3 separate regions of the Mus musculus genome follow, and all the other regions are reported to be linked to region 2. Evidence: microRNA targets listed by miRTarBase, many of them from high-throughput screens and not tested one by one. Region 2 holds a microRNA gene; each other region holds the end of a gene's coding sequence.
Evidence for each region. The annotated mature microRNA mmu-miR-190a-5p reads UGAUAUGUUUGAUAUAUUAGGU and lies in region 2 at 3,028-3,049, shown strand. An mRNA with a match to its seed (bases 2 to 7 or 8) in the 3' UTR can be bound and repressed. Matches are read on the target gene's strand: a 7mer-m8 pairs with bases 2 to 8, a 7mer-A1 pairs with bases 2 to 7 and ends in A, and an 8mer does both.

Region 1: the mRNA of 1700001L19Rik is a reported target of mmu-miR-190a-5p. The part of its 3' UTR that is shown has no 7-base or 8-base seed match.
Region 3: miRTarBase lists Ano6 as a target of mmu-miR-190a-5p. The part of its 3' UTR that is shown has no 7-base or 8-base seed match.

The regions. Positions count from the first base shown.
Region 1 is chr13:68,612,581-68,617,580 of GRCm38, forward strand. 1700001L19Rik (RIKEN cDNA 1700001L19 gene) reads left to right here. Exons shown (of 3, transcript NM_027035.1): 3 at 250-1,651. The coding sequence ends at 429. Among named protein-coding and RNA genes, the nearest start is that of Gm34903, 11 kb to the left of the region's middle.
Region 2 is chr9:67,234,574-67,239,748 of GRCm38, reverse strand. It overlaps Mir190a (microRNA 190a), which reads left to right and starts at 3,023; the gene lies at 3,023-3,089. All of the region lies in intron 53 of Tln2 (talin 2), which reads left to right.
Region 3 is chr15:95,971,836-95,976,835 of GRCm38, reverse strand. Ano6 (anoctamin 6) reads right to left here. Exons shown (of 20, transcript NM_175344.4): 20 at 1,364-4,341. The coding sequence ends at 4,135. Among named protein-coding and RNA genes, the nearest start is that of Gm41389, 62 kb to the right of the region's middle.

The DNA of each region.
Region 1 (5,000 bases), not on the chromosome of region 2:
GAAGAGGAGGAACAGGACCTGAAGTCAGACCACTAGTGGTGTCTGGTTCAGCGTCTTACTTCTCCTCCAGATAGCAGGGTAGTAGAGGGTCGTGCGCAGAGGGACTGGAGTCTTTCTGGCTTTGCAAACACAGGTATCATTGAGACGTCGCCTGGGTGAGACATCTGATGGACCGGCCACTGTACTGATGCATTGTGGGTAGAAAGGTTTCTGTGCTCACAGTGGTGTCTGCGAATTTCATCTTCCCAGGAACAAGAAAGGACTGTGCCAGTGCTGATGTCCTCTGTCTATGGGAAACGCATCAATCAGCCCATTGAGCCCCTAAACAGAGACTATGGCCATGTGAGCCACGTGAAGACCGACTTCTACAGGAAGAACGAGATCCCCAGCATCAAGGGGCCCGGCTTTGGGCACATCAATCCAGCCTGAAGAAGTCGTGTGGTTTCTAGGGCACTCTGAGGTACCCTATCAGCAAGTGATGTAGTATACGAACCATTTTCCTGTTCATGTCACCTGTAGCTGTAAGAATGTTCTTTGACTGCAGGAGGATAAGCACGTGCATATCTAAGGTGGTCCTGGCTCAGAACCTGGAAAAGCACCTTTCCTTATGTTGAAAGCTTTAGGGTAAGGATTTTCACTGGACTTATTTAAAATGACACTGACTGATTCATTCTGAGACCCTGAATAAAAGAAAAGCTTGCCTCCCGTTGGTAGCAGCTGTGTTTGTTTTGTGGGCTGGCTCTTCACTTTGCAAGGATTTGTTGGGGAAGGGGTCACAGGAGAAACGTGCCGGTCCTTCTCCCTGCCCACAATGCAAACAACCCCTTTTCTGTTTCTCTGAGAGGAACAAAAATGGCTCTCAACATGACTGAGCACTTTGTTTTCTTGAGGTCATAGATAAACTGAATTTTGAACAATGGAGCATTAAAGCCCCCTGTACATCCATACTGCCACCCCTCCAGGGAGAATGTGTTACAGATTCAGGGCGCAGGCTGGACTCTGGGAAAAGTCTGCCTGTTACGTTCTCTCTCTGTGATCTGATGTTGTGTCATCTTTAGGTGAAATTTCTAATCAGAATACTGCCAGAGTACAGCCATGCTCAGGGTTCACAGCCCTGAGCACTGAAACTGTCCTTACCCTTGTTATTCTTCACACAGAGGTTTGAACCCAGGACCTTGCACACTGTGCCCCTGAGATCTATCTGCAGCCCATGGCTGTCACTTTGGACAGCAGTTTCCTCTTCTGGAAGCAGCTGATTTTAACCCAGGTTGGAAGTATTTATTTTGCAAGAGAATCTGACATACACTCAAGCACTAAGATATATTTTTAATGAATGTATTTTTGGAAGAAAGCATCTCTCATCTACTGCGATTGAATTTCCCAGAGCTGAGCAGTTAATGGGCAGGTGATGCAATTAATTTTGGTGCTCAACCACTGGTTTTATTGTTTTGAATCTGCAAGATGGTTTCATGATCCAAAATTGCTGGCCATTTCAAGGATGAGTAACTCCTAAATACTTATATTCCGAATTTTCCAGTGTTGTTGCTCTTTTTCCCCAAAATAAATAGTAGTATATTGTGAGTTGCTCTTGGGCACATTAAACTATACTTGTAATAATATAAAAAAGAAAATTAAATGGATTTCTGTTCGCTTCTCCTCTCTAATTAATGAATACCAGGTAGAGACATCTTAAGGGGGATACTATTATTATTATTATTATTATTATTTTTAAAGATTTATTTTAACTTAGGTGTATGTGTGTACATCTGTGTGTGGATATGTGCACAGCTGCTGGTGCCTGCTGAGGTCAGAAGAGAATGTCAGATCTCATGAAGCTGGGGTTGTGGTAGCTGTGAAAACCATGATCTCATGGATGCTGGGAAGTGAACTTGAGGCCTCTGCAATAGCAGTGTGCAGTGTCAAGTGCTGAGCCTCGTCTCCAGTTCAGAGAGTACATTCCTGTATTAATAGATTGTGTTTCCACTTATCCAACCACCACCACTGTTTGGTGTTGGTTCCTGCACGCGGATGCTGATAAATAAGCAAAGGAAGGCAGAGAAGATCTGAGGGCCACTGGCTTCTGAAGATCAGTCAGGAGGCAGAGAGAGCACCGGAGGTCTGATTGACAGCACACTCCAGCCAGCTGCGGACAGTGACGTTAAAGCATGGGAGTTAGGGAACTGGACCGATGGCTTTTAGGAGAGGCTTCCTGTAATGCTAAAAGGTGAGGGGTGCTTGTGAAGGAACTTCTCCATGACTCCTCTGATTTTCTCGTTTCTAGTGATTATTTTTATCAAGGTCAAGGAACTCGGATCAGGAGTGGCTGCTTGGGATTTGATGAAACAGGCAGTTTCCTTACCTTAGCAGTGCCTTGGCCACACAGCAGCCACTAGACTAGGAACAACAGGCTAGATGTCTCCGCACCTGTCTCCTCATTTATAAACTGAAGGGGAGGGAGGCTCAGATTTGGGAAGGTGATCTGAATCACTTGGGGATTTTTAAAATGTAATACACAGAAGAAAGTCCCTTTGGGAATCTGTCAATGTGCTCTAGGCCAGCTTTCTTCCTTAGGGGTTCAGGTCTGGATTGAGAATATATTGGCTGAGATCCCTCCTGGAGAGGCTGGTGTGAGCCCAGATCTGTAAAAGGTACATGCAGACAAGGACTTTAGCTGCTGTCAAATTTTACTGATGCTTCAGACAGGTAATTTAGCTCTGCCTTCTATCCTTCCAGTTCTTTTTTTTTTTTTTTTTCTTTCCATTTTTTATTAGGTATTTAGCTCATTTACATTTCCAATGCTATACCAAAAGTCCCCCATACCCACCCACCCCCACTCCCCTACCCGCCCACTCCCCCTTTTTGGCCCTGGCGTTCCCCTGTTCTGGGGCATATAAAGTTTGTGTGTCCAATGGGCCTCTCTTTCCAGTGATGGCCGACTAGGCCATCTTTTGATACATATGCAGCTAGAGTCAAGAGCTCCGGGGTACTGGTTAGTTCATAATGTTGATCCACCTATAGGGTTGCAGATCCCTTTAGCTCCTTGGGTACTTTCTCTAGCTCCTCCATTGGGAGCCCTGTGATCCATCCATTAGCTGACTGTGGGCATCCACTTCTGTGTTTGCTAGGCCCCGGCATAGTCTCACAAGAGACAACTACATCTGGGTCCTTTCGATAAAATCTTGCTAGTGTATGCAATGGTGTCAGCAAACGAGGAGTTGGTTCTTTGAGAAAATCAACAAGATAGATAAACCCTTAGCTAGACTCACTAGAGGGCACAGAGACAAAATCCTAATTAACAAAATCAGAACTGAAAAGGGAGACATAACAACAGATCCTGAAGAAATCCAAAACACCATCAGATCCTTCTACAAAAGGCTATACTCAACAAAACTGGAAAACCTGGACGAAATGGACAAATTTCTGGACAGGTACCAGGTACCAAAGTTGAATCAGGATCAAGTTGACCTTCTAAACAGTCCCATATCCCCTAAAGAAATAGAAGCAGTTATAAATAGTCTCCCAGCCAAAAAAAGCCCAGGACCAGACGGGTTTAGTGCAGAGTTCTATCGGACCTTCAAAGAAGATCTAATTCCAGTTCTGCACAAACTTTTTCACAAGATAGAAGTAGAAAGTACTCTACCCAACTCATTTTATGAAGCCACTATTACTCTGATACCTAAACCACAGAAAGATCCAACAAAGATAGAGAACTTCAGACCAATTTCTCTTATGAATATCGATGCAAAAATCCTCAATAAAATTCTCGCTAACCGAATCCAAGATCACATTAAAGCAATCATCCATCCTGACCAAGTAGGTTTTATTCCAGGAATGCAGGGATGGTTTAATATACGAAAATCCATCAATGTAATCCACTATATAAACAAACTCAAAGACAAAAACCACATGATCATCTCGTTGGATGCAGAAAAAGCATTTGACAAGATCCAACACCCATTCATGATAAAAGTTCTGGAAAGATCAGGAATTCAAGGCCCATACCTAGACATGATAAAAGCAATCTACAGCAAACCAGTAGCCAACATCAAAGTAAATGGAGAGAAGCTGGAAGCAATCCCACTAAAATCAGGGACTAGACAAGGCTGCCCACTTTCACCCTACCTTTTCAACATAGTACTTGAAGTATTAGCCAGAGCAATTCGACAACAAAAGGAGATCAAGGGGATACAAATTGGAAAGGAGGAAGTCAAAATATCACTTTTTGCAGATGATATGATAGTATATATAAGTGACCCTAAAAATTCCACCAGAGAACTCCTAAACCTGATAAACAGCTTCGGTGAAGTAGCTGGATATAAAATTAACTCAAACAAGTCAATGGCCTTTCTCTACACAAAGAATAAACAGGCTGAGAAAGAAATTAGGGAAACAACACCCTTCTCAATAGTCACAAATAATATAAAATATCTCGGCGTGACTCTAACTAAGGAAGTGAAAGATCTGTATGATAAAAACTTCAAGTCTCTGAAGAAAGAAATTAAAGAAGATCTCAGAAGATGGAAAGATCTCCCATGCTCATGGATTGGCAGGATCAATATTGTAAAAATGGCTATCTTGCCAAAAGCAATCTACAGATTCAATGCAATCCCCATCAAAATTCCAACTCAATTCTTCAATGAATTAGAAGGAGCAATTTGCAAATTCATCTGGAATAACAAAAAACCTAGGATAGCAAAAACTCTTCTCAAGGATAAAAGAACCTCTGGTGGAATCACCATGCCGGACCTAAAGCTTTACTACAGAGCAATTGTGGTAAAAACTGCATGGTACTGGTATAGAGACAGACAAGTAGACCAATGGAATAGAATTGAAGACCCAGAAATGAACCCACACACCTATGGTCACTTGATCTTCGACAAGGGAGCTAAAACCATCCAGTGGAAGAAAGACAGCATTTTCAACAAATGGTGCTGGCACAACTGGTTGTTATCATGTAGAAGAATGCGAATCGATCCATACTTATCTCCTTGTACTAAGGT
Region 2 (5,175 bases):
ATCTCAAAGAGAAACCCAGCACTAGGCTGTTTCAGTGTGTACAGGAGCCCGTGGCTGGCTAGTGTAGTTTTCATAAGAGAAGTAGCCAAGAAGATAGATTCTTTTCTATGGGGCAGTAGGAGCTGGCCCATCTTCAGGGTCAGGCTCAGCCTTAGTAAGCAGCTGCGGTTCCTACCCCACACTTCAGCCACCTTTAGGAAGATGTCAGAAGGAGGAGGTTTCATTTTCTTCCTACCTATGCAAGTCTTTATGGGTATCTATATTCACCTCCCAGGGACCCACATACATTGGGAAAGGAACTTTGGCTATTTGTATGCCCGCCCCAAAAAAGTTAGACCCCCAGTTTAGGTCTGCCTAAATTTCTACCTATTTTTGTCAAATTGAAAGATGGTGTCTGGAGGTTTGAAATACAACAATCAGTGCCAAGGCAGTGTTGAGGACATGTATGCAGCAGACAGGAGGCTAATGAATCTGTTAAGGCTGGAGGCTTCTTAAAGTCGTCAAGGCTTCAGACCTATCTCCTAAGCACTGGCCTTGATGGCAGGCACATTTCAGATTTTCCTCATCAAGGCATAATTTGAGATTTTTGACCTCTGACTTTTGTGTTTGCTGGGGTTTCGTTCCTGGTGCCCTGGGGCTCTTGGATCATCTGATACTGTCAGAGTTTAAGATCTGACAGTCCGGTCAGGGACAACTGCATTTTCGGGTTAGGTTTTTGTTTCTGCTTTGCAAGTCAAGTTAATAGAACTTGAGAAGTATACTTTAAAGGTGAATCTTAAAAATAAGGTTGTGCCGGGCGGTGGTGGCGCACGCCTTTGATCCCAGCACTCGGGAGGCAGAGGCAGGCGGATTTCTGAGTTCGAGGTCAGCCTGGTCTACAAAGTGAGTTCCAGGACAGCCAGGGCTACACAGAGAAACCCTGTCTCAAACCCCCCCCTTCCAAAAAAAAAATATATATATATATATAAAAGGTTGTGAGGTTTGCAGCTTAATCTGCGTGTCTTATGCTTGTCTAGTCTATCCCAAGAGGCCTTTTCACAGGGGATGACTCTGTGTTTTGGTCAGTTGACACCTGCAATCTGTGAATGGGCCTGCTGCTCGTGTATCACCCATATTCCACTATTTTCCAGCATCCCCTGGCCTCCACCCTGTCCTTCTCTAGGGTCCTCCTCAGCTCTTGTCTGTTTTTCTCTGACTGGTTGCTCATTTGCGTCAACATTCTTGATTTGGAAAACAGACTTACTGGGATCTCCTTCATCCTGCAGGATTGTTCTTATAGCATAAGTCGATAACGTAAGAACATGGTGCCTGACTAGTAAATGGTAATGCTATCACCTCTGTCACCATCACTATGACCAGACATATGCTTTCTGACACCTTCATTTTTCATCTTTGTGTGGAAGATAAGGTCTTTCATGGATCCCTAGTTGGGTAAGAGGGCGGGCGACAGGGCTACCGTAAATACAAGACACGGTCCAGACCAGTCTCCTAAGTATTTTATCTGGTCCTCACCACTGTCAGACCGTGTGATTGAGTGGGGAGGGAACATAGAGCTGGGGTCCCAGTTTCTGAACACTGTACTCCCTCTGATACCCCATTGGCAGAGAAAATGATTCCCGTCCCTCAGGACCACTGCACTTTATAGTGTCTTAGGCTGTTAGACTTGTCTCCAGTTCCTTTCCTAAGGAAAAAAACCCAGACTTGTGTGAGAGGGATGTTCTAGAAGCTTGGTTGGTAGCAGTAAGAAGTTGGGGTCTTCTTGAAGGGAAATGATGAGGCTGTTACAGTAATGAAGAGTAATGGTTGCCAGACTGTACAGCGTGAAGATGCTTATGGAATGAGTAAAATGGGGAGAAATGATAACACCTAGGCATCCATGGTTAGTGCTTATGTCACAAAGCTGGGAACTAACGGAGATGATCAGCAAAGAACAGCTAAGACTTGAAATGGGACCAGGGAACGGCAGGCTCTGTGTTTTACAGTTCTGGAAAACAATGTTTGAAAACCACACACATTGAAAATGAGGGGGGCTGGAGAGAGGGCTCAGCGGTTAAGAGCACTGACTGCTCTCCCAGAGGTCCCGAGTTCAATTCCCAACAACCACATGGTGGCTCACAACCATCTGTGATGGGATCCGATGCCCTCTTCTGGTGTGTCTGAAGAGAGTGCCAGTGTACTCACTTAAAATAAATAAGTAAATCTTAAGAAAAGAAAATGAGGGATGGTTGCCGGAGGCGGCCTGTGTGGACCCCTTATGTGTACACTGCTAGGCATTATCCATGAAAGTGTCTCAAAGCAGCTTATCATCCCAAAGCATGTAGCCCCGGGCTTGCAAGGAGGGCCGTCCACCGTGGGAAACTTCTTGCACAATGCATAACATCCTCCTGACAGTTACAAAAGAACTTTTCCTCGGCTTAAAAGAAAAAAAATTACCGAAACAGCAAAACCAGCTAATATTTGAGGTTACTTTTCTCCATCCTGTCCTGTAACCTTAAAGACAAAAATCCTCAGGGTGCCATAAATGGCAGCTGCTCCTGCATACTTGCCATAGTGACTGTGGCCACCCACCCCCATACCACGTGAATGAGGTTATCCTCCACCCAGGCAGAGCACCTGTGCTGCTTGGAGGACTAGTTTGGGGAGGGAGGGAGGGAGGGTGATGACTTCCAGCTGTTTTGATTACCTGGTTCTCAGGTTACCTGTTTTAAAAGGAGACTAGTCTGTGGCATGTGAAGATGGTTCTGGTGTAGTTCCACCCTTGGGCCCTGACCATGGAAGCACCTCCCTTTACCTGTAATCTCTCAGACGTGAGTGACAGACAGGTGCACAGACTCCCTTTTCATTTGGGGAAAGGAGCCCAGGCTCAGAGTGTGTGCCACCAGCATTGTTGCTAATGGCATCCTTGCCACACCTACAGACACGCCTGTGTTCCAAGGCAGGCTGGGAGATACTGCAGAGGTGACTGACTCCCACAGCCATATTCTCAAGCTCAGTCAAACCTGGATGCCTTTTCTGCAGGCCTCTGTGTGATATGTTTGATATATTAGGTTGTTATTTAATCCAACTATATATCAAGCATATTCCTACAGTGTCTTGCCCTGTCTCCGGGGGTCCTAACAAAGTTTAGAAGCAACAGGAAAAAATATATTAAAAAATCACAAGTAGGTTTAGATGACAGAGTGCGTATGTTGTTATGTTTCATTCCATTTCTTCGTGTAGCCTTTAAGACCTGTGTCTTAGTTACCTTTCTGTTGCTGTGACAGGATGCCCCAACCAAAAGCAACTTAAGGCAAAAGGGTGTATTATGGCTTAGTTTATCAGGGGCCAGACCATCAAAGAGGGAAGGCCGGCAGTCAGGAAGTAGAGAGATAGGACAGCAGATGGAGCCAGGCCATAAAACCTCAAAGGCCAGTATGTCCTTCAGCAAGGCTTTGTGAATTCCTAAAGCTTCCATAGCCAAATGGCACTGCCAGCTGAAGACCAAATGTTCAGACACACTAACTTATTATGGATGGGGGATGCTTTGTTTCAGACCACAACAAACTGTATCAATACTACTACATTATCTGTTTGTTGTGGAAAGGGAGTATAGCTCCTGAAGGCTTAAGATATTTTCTAAAGTTTAGTTGAATGCAATTAGGAGTCCTTAAGAAAAGTATTCAGTGGAAAAAGATGGAAGATAACAACCCGTGTCTTTGATATAGGACAAAGGTTAGGATTGTAACTGGCAAACACATTGATCTAGATATTTCTTCCTGACAACTCTCAACACACTCTCACAGATTAAATTTTGTAATTGTTTTCCATGCCAAAAAAAAAATCGGGACATTTATTATCTCTAACTTTCCGCTTCTGGTAACAAATCTAAACCCTGGTGACTGTGCTCACTTTACGGATGGTGAGCCCGTAAACCTTAATTGCAGACCTTAATTTGGATCAGATATGTCTGATGAAGAGAACATGCTCGGGACTGTGCTCTGTCGGTTGAGTTTTCTGTTGTAGGTGAACTTCTGCACAGAGGTTGTTAATATTTAGAAGAACCCGGCAGTCCGAAAGTAAACAAATACTCTAATTGGCTGCCGCAGGAAGTTGGGCTATGACCCAGAAAGCATTCTTTCGGGTATATATCAGCCTCTCTGGCTGCTTTGACTTCTTCCCATAAATGAGTCCGTGAACTGTATGTGAGTTTACTCTGAGCTGTCTAGCACAGAGACTATATAAGTACTTTTCCTGGAAATAGCATGGCTATGCTCCCAGGCCTTGTTGGTTTTACCTTAGGAGGAAACAACTCTTGATGGCACTCCTAACTGTGGATGAGCAAGACCTCTTACCCTACAGGGGCAGGAGAGTAGTTTGACGGGGGTCGTCAGAAAAGGAACTTGGGAATATGTAGAAGCCACCATTGGTGAACGAGTAGTTTTTTTAAGCATCGCTCTAAAAGGTCTTTCGGATGAAGACACTTGCCAGAAGTGGTGAGATTTGGGATGGGGGGTAACTCTGCTGCTGTCTGGCATTCCCATGTGGCTGATTCATATTCTGAGTGGGAGTGGGAACGGGCACACAGGTGTTCTGTGACATGGGAAAGCAAACATGTTTTCTGCATGGCTAAGCTACAGGCTTGGAGCTCACATGCCAGACCTTGGTCCCAGACAAGCAGAGAGTGTATTGCCAGGTGGTTCTCTACCAGGACCTTGTTAGGTCCTTAGATGCATAGAAGGCTCATACCAGAGATTCCTAAGATGAACCAAACTGTATCTCATTGAATAATGGAAAGGCTTCTATTGTCCATACTTCCTATATCAAGGTCCAAGTGACCCCTTCTTCCCCTTTTTGAGAGTATGACAGAATTCTAAAGAATTTATTTTCATCAGAGACTAATTATAAGATCAACTCAGTGGTATTACTTTTTATATTGAATATAAGTTACAAAAAATGTAATAAAGCAATTGTATTATATGGGGAAAAACTATTCCCAAGATACTAACTGTGCAGGCTTGGGGCTTTTCCAATGGATGCTACATGAACCTATTCCTTTATTATCTATCTGGATGTGAAGGTGGTGCGTATCCAGCTACTAACATGACTTGCTCAGCAGTGGTTTCTCTGTGTCACCCTGAGCTTCCCCTGAGACCAGGCCTCTGTGAAGGGTACCAGCTGTTCTGGGAGATTTGCCTT
Region 3 (5,000 bases), not on the chromosome of region 2:
GGCAAGCCTTGACATACATCATGATGGCAGGGGCATGTGGCAGAGATGGCTGAGTGGAGTCAAGGGTCTGGGGACCAGGCATCAGGGCATGCCCCTAGTAACCTAATATTTCCAGTGACATCCTATCTCCTACATTTTCCACACTCTCCCCAAATAGTGCCACTAGCTGGTGACCAAGCATTCAATAAATAGCCCTGTAGGGGACATTTGATATTCACACCGTAAGAGTTGGCCTGTGACAGTCACTCCAAGTCAAGTCTGGCTCACAGAGCAACCATCAACTGAGCCTGTGTGGTAGAATATCTGTGGAGTCCCAGACATGGGGGTACGCAGAGGTCTGACTCCTAAATCTGTCCAAATTTGGATATTGTCTCTTTTCAAAATAGGTCGGGGCTATGGTATGCTGAAAATGCAGGTTTGTTTCCAAAGGCTCTGAATGCCTTCATTCTCCTCTCCCCTCTGCCTCCCTCCCCCCTCCCTCTCTCCTCCTTCCTTGTTTGAACAGGTTATTTCAACAGCTTGGTTTGGGGGGTCACATATTTTCTCCCTGTTGATCCAGTTTGTTGTTGAGGCTTAGTGACGTGTGTGTGTGTGTGTGTGTGTGTGTGTGTGTGTGTGTGTGTGTGTTAATCTGACTTACAGAGATGATAATTCACAGGCCTCCTTTCCCTTGCCTGGTCTGAAACCAAGGTGATACCATGTCCATACTACTCAATCCTTAAGAGTCCAGTCACCTCCCGTGTCCCCTAAACACCTGTTACTTTGGCTTTTCTGTGAAGAAAAAAAAAAGAGCCACCTTGTCTTCTGAAGATTATTTTAAAAACATTTACATTTTCACATGCACCAGTCTCTGGAACCACGTTGGAGAATTTGCATCTTTTGGTCAGTACCGAGGTGCTCCCGGATGGGAAGCCGGTGCTTTGCCTTAGAAGTAAACTTGTAGCTAACCGTTTGCTTACAGTGTGTAGAAGAGAGGGTCCCTTATTAGGACTGTTCTAAAGTGCATCCAAGGGCCAGGTGTGTGGCTCACGTGTCCTCTCAGAGCTCGAGGGGCGGCTAGCCTGAGCTACACAGTGAGACCCAAAGAGGGTTATTGACAAAGGGGTGTCATCTCACCGGTGACTCTAGGGTACCTGGGCTGGTGAGCAGGTGAGCAGGTCTTCAGCTCACCTGCATTTACAGCATCTACCATGGCTGAAAGGCCATGTAACCACGGGCCATGAAAAGTCATTATAGATATACTCTAGACAGACGTGCACACCCATCATCTAAGCGATACTTAACCAGTAATTGGCCAACCTCGGAAACCTGTTCCTTTAAAAACATTAATAAGACACTTATTAAACCTCGTTAGGCCACAGCATTGTTTGTAAAACTGATTTTATTAAAATGCTCATTAATTAAAAAATATTAAAATGCATAGAAATTAACAGACATCAGTTACAAACATTACACCGGGGACACAGTGTATGGGAAGCATCACGAGTCCCTTTTCAGCTGAGCTCTGCACTGTCTCCACTTCTCAACCATTGTAGGAACGAACACAAGGAGCACACAAGACCTGTGAGACCAACTCACCCCGCTCTGCCCCATCACAAACGGATGTCCTATGAAACTCAAGACCCACGTGCCCTGCAAAGGGGAAACCTTGACAAACTCATTACCAGACGGCCTCTTTCAATTTCAAGAAAAATTGTGGTCTTCTACTTCTAACGGAATACCTAAAACATCCGAGGAGCATTTAAGGAAAAATCCCCTGAGTACTGGGTCTACCACATTAATCCATTAAAATGCAAAGGCATTACAAAAGGATGGAACTTCTCTAGTGGCTCATGCTAGACAGGTGGGTGGCCACAGTCATGCCCTTGGTTTTCCTGGGCCTGGGGTCTACCTCACTGCCACCGAAGGTGTCCCCTGTTCCTATCCATCACCAACTTGGCACAGGCCTCATAGGAATGACACTGACGCCATTGGGAACCTACAGCTCACAGCAACCTTGCTGTCATTCAGCATTCTGGTAGCATCAGATGCCATGAGTGCTCCTTTCAGAAAAGGAAGTTTTTTTTTTTTTTTTTTTTTTTTTTTTCCTCCTTCTTCTGTCCATAGTGGTACTTTCTACTTTGTGAAGGGAGTTCTTGGCTGGGGAATATAGATGAAGAAATGCACTTTTTATTTGACATTTTTCTTTGTGTCTACAAAGAAAGGAAGGGAAAATTTCCTCTTTCTATGGTATGGAGTGGGAGTACTTTCCTGTCCTTAGGAAGTGAGCACAGGCTCTGGAAAAGAGGTAACAGAGGGAGCAGGGCACTCCAGGGCAATCTGGGGGTAGGGGCAAGGAGTGGCACTTGGTTTCAGCTGTGCAATGAGAGCATCCCTCAGGGAGGAAGGTAGTCATTTTTATCTCAGCACAGATAGACACTGTATGGCGGGCTCTGGACTCCCAGGACAAGGGAGGAGGGGAAATACTCCCACACTGACCCCCTGGGCTACTCAAAAGCCCAGAACACTGCTTTGATTAATCATGTTGATTCTCAATTCTCTAGTAAATCATTCGTGGTGGGCATTTAATACCACGGGTGTTGAGAAGGCAGTCTCTAAAACCGCTCACTTTCCTTGGCTTGGTTCCTAGGCACCGAGGCATTCCACACCCATCCAGTCAGCAGCGGCCCGATCCCCAAACAGTGTGAGGCAGGTCCTCCCTTCTTCACCCAGCACTGACCTCTGTGATCAGTCAAGGGTGCGAGGTATCGCCATGTCTCCTCCAGATGGACTGGAGGAGAAGCGGAGCACAGGCTGCAGAGAGACTGCTCAGCCAAGCAACAGGGAGGGCAAGGCACTAGGAAGCTGAGGCTTCGCAGCAAGCCACCAGCAGATAAACCAGCCTTTCCCATAACCCCCTGATGGCTTGAGAGGAGGCTTGGGGCTCAAATTCAACCCAGGGTTTCCTTCCTCAAAGGGCAACAATCTTGGTAGACTTGTCTCCAGCCCAGCTGTGATTACAAACGAGTTAGCAGGCAACGAATGGAGCTGGGCAAGGAAGCTGGTCACCGTGGCAAGCAGAGAAGTCAGTAGGGTTCCCAGTGAGTGACATCTGCCACAGAGGGATCACAGGATATGGCTAGTGATTGGGTAGCTGGCTGTTGCTCTGACTACGCCCAGTGTCGTCAGGCCACCAGCCTTTTTCAGCGAGCAAGGCAGAAGGCGCTTGGTGATTGGTAGTGCCACCCTTCTGCATCTGCTAAGTCCGTTCTCATGAAGTGGATGGGCTTCCCGGCCCATGATGCTGAGGACGAGACAGTTACAATCATTTGATTATCATCTACCAAGAAGAGATAAATTAACCGTTCAGATCAACAAGGGCTGCTACCTTTTCATCTTATATACCCTTAAGATCTGAAAGCCAGTCAACATTGGTCAGACCCAGAGCATGCTGGGAGTATTGCTAGAGAGCAAATGTCACCGTGGAGTAACAGGGACAGGCTTCTTCATTCAATACCCTCCATCTTCATGCCAATCTAAGACGAGTATTTCTTGGAGGTGGAAATACAGGCTGAAATGATACAGAAGCTGTTTCATACGCAGCGGAGTCTCCTTCCTTGGAGTGTACAGTAAGACACTGAAATACTGTGAACTCTTGAGCCTACCTGGGACCTAACACAGCATCCAAACTCAATCCTGAGCTGGCTATTGTTGATAACACAGAGGCGATTAAGGCTGAGGTCTGCCTGGTCTTTGGTGATGGTGCTGTCCGGACAAAATAGGTCTGGGATAGATTTGGCAAAATGCAAAATTAAGCACAGAAAAGGAGCTCTGCACACGTGAGGTCAGAAAAGCGAAGTCCCGGGGAGAACTTGGGCACACCTCAGGGCTTTTTTTCCTGTTACTAAAATTCCAATTTATCAAAAGAGGGAGCATGTTCAGGACCTCCAGGTAGGTGGTTTTAGGCTCTGCCTGATCAGTTTTCTGTTCTCCAGTTTCCACACTGCTTGCTGAAACTGGAAGATGACACAGGCAGAAATGGGCATGGGCAAGACTCCGCCTGCCTAGGAGTTCCAATGCCATCCTCTCTAGTGCTTCACACACGTCTGACAGCTAATTCTCTTTAAAGTGCTTCTCCAGGCCTAAAGCTCCCGCTCATTCGAGTTTTGGCCGCACGCTGTTGTCAACCGTTCCTCCTATCCTCTCGGCGATGATCCCCATGTTTTTGGTCAGGTCTTTGAGGTGACTCTCGTGAAGCAACTTCTGCGTGAGGTATTTCTCCCTCTTGATCTTGCTTTTCGTGATTTTGGACACATCTGGAATTGCGTAGGAAATGAAGAACTTCACAGAGTAGATGATGTGCTGCAAGGAAGAGAGAAGACCGTGTCAGAGGGGGGCCGAGTCCCCGAGCTTTACTCATGTCATTATGATGGTGTGTCCGGACAGGGTAGACACCGTGGCCCTTCAGTCTCAAAGCAACGGGATATAAGGGAGTGATCTGTCCGTGTTCAGCGGTACCATGTTCCTTTAGCATGAGCGAGGAGTCCACCTGACTGTGTGTGTTCTCATCCACATACTACAGACTACCACTCCAGCACACGGGAGACCGAGTCTGATGTCAGTTTGGATGATGTAGTGAAACAAAAAATAATAAAACGAACGCCCCCAAATCGTCCATTAAGCTAAAAACCCAGACCCCTGACAGTGCTGTTGTATTTCCTAATTCTCTGTTCCTTTCTCAAAGGTACTCTCCTATATGCGATGTTACTATAAAGGAAAGAAGAAACCAAAATATATACGTGTTCACCAATACGTATTTACTCTTGATTTGAGCTTTATAATAGTACTTGACAGTATTTCAAAAACAGCCTTACTTACTTTCTATGTGTTTTCCCTGTATGTATGTGTGTGTCCCATGTGTGTACACCACCCATGGATGCTAGAACGGGATATCGGAGCCCCTGGAACTGGAGCTACAGATGGCTGTGAGCTGCCATGTGGGGGCTGGGCACTGTTGCAGA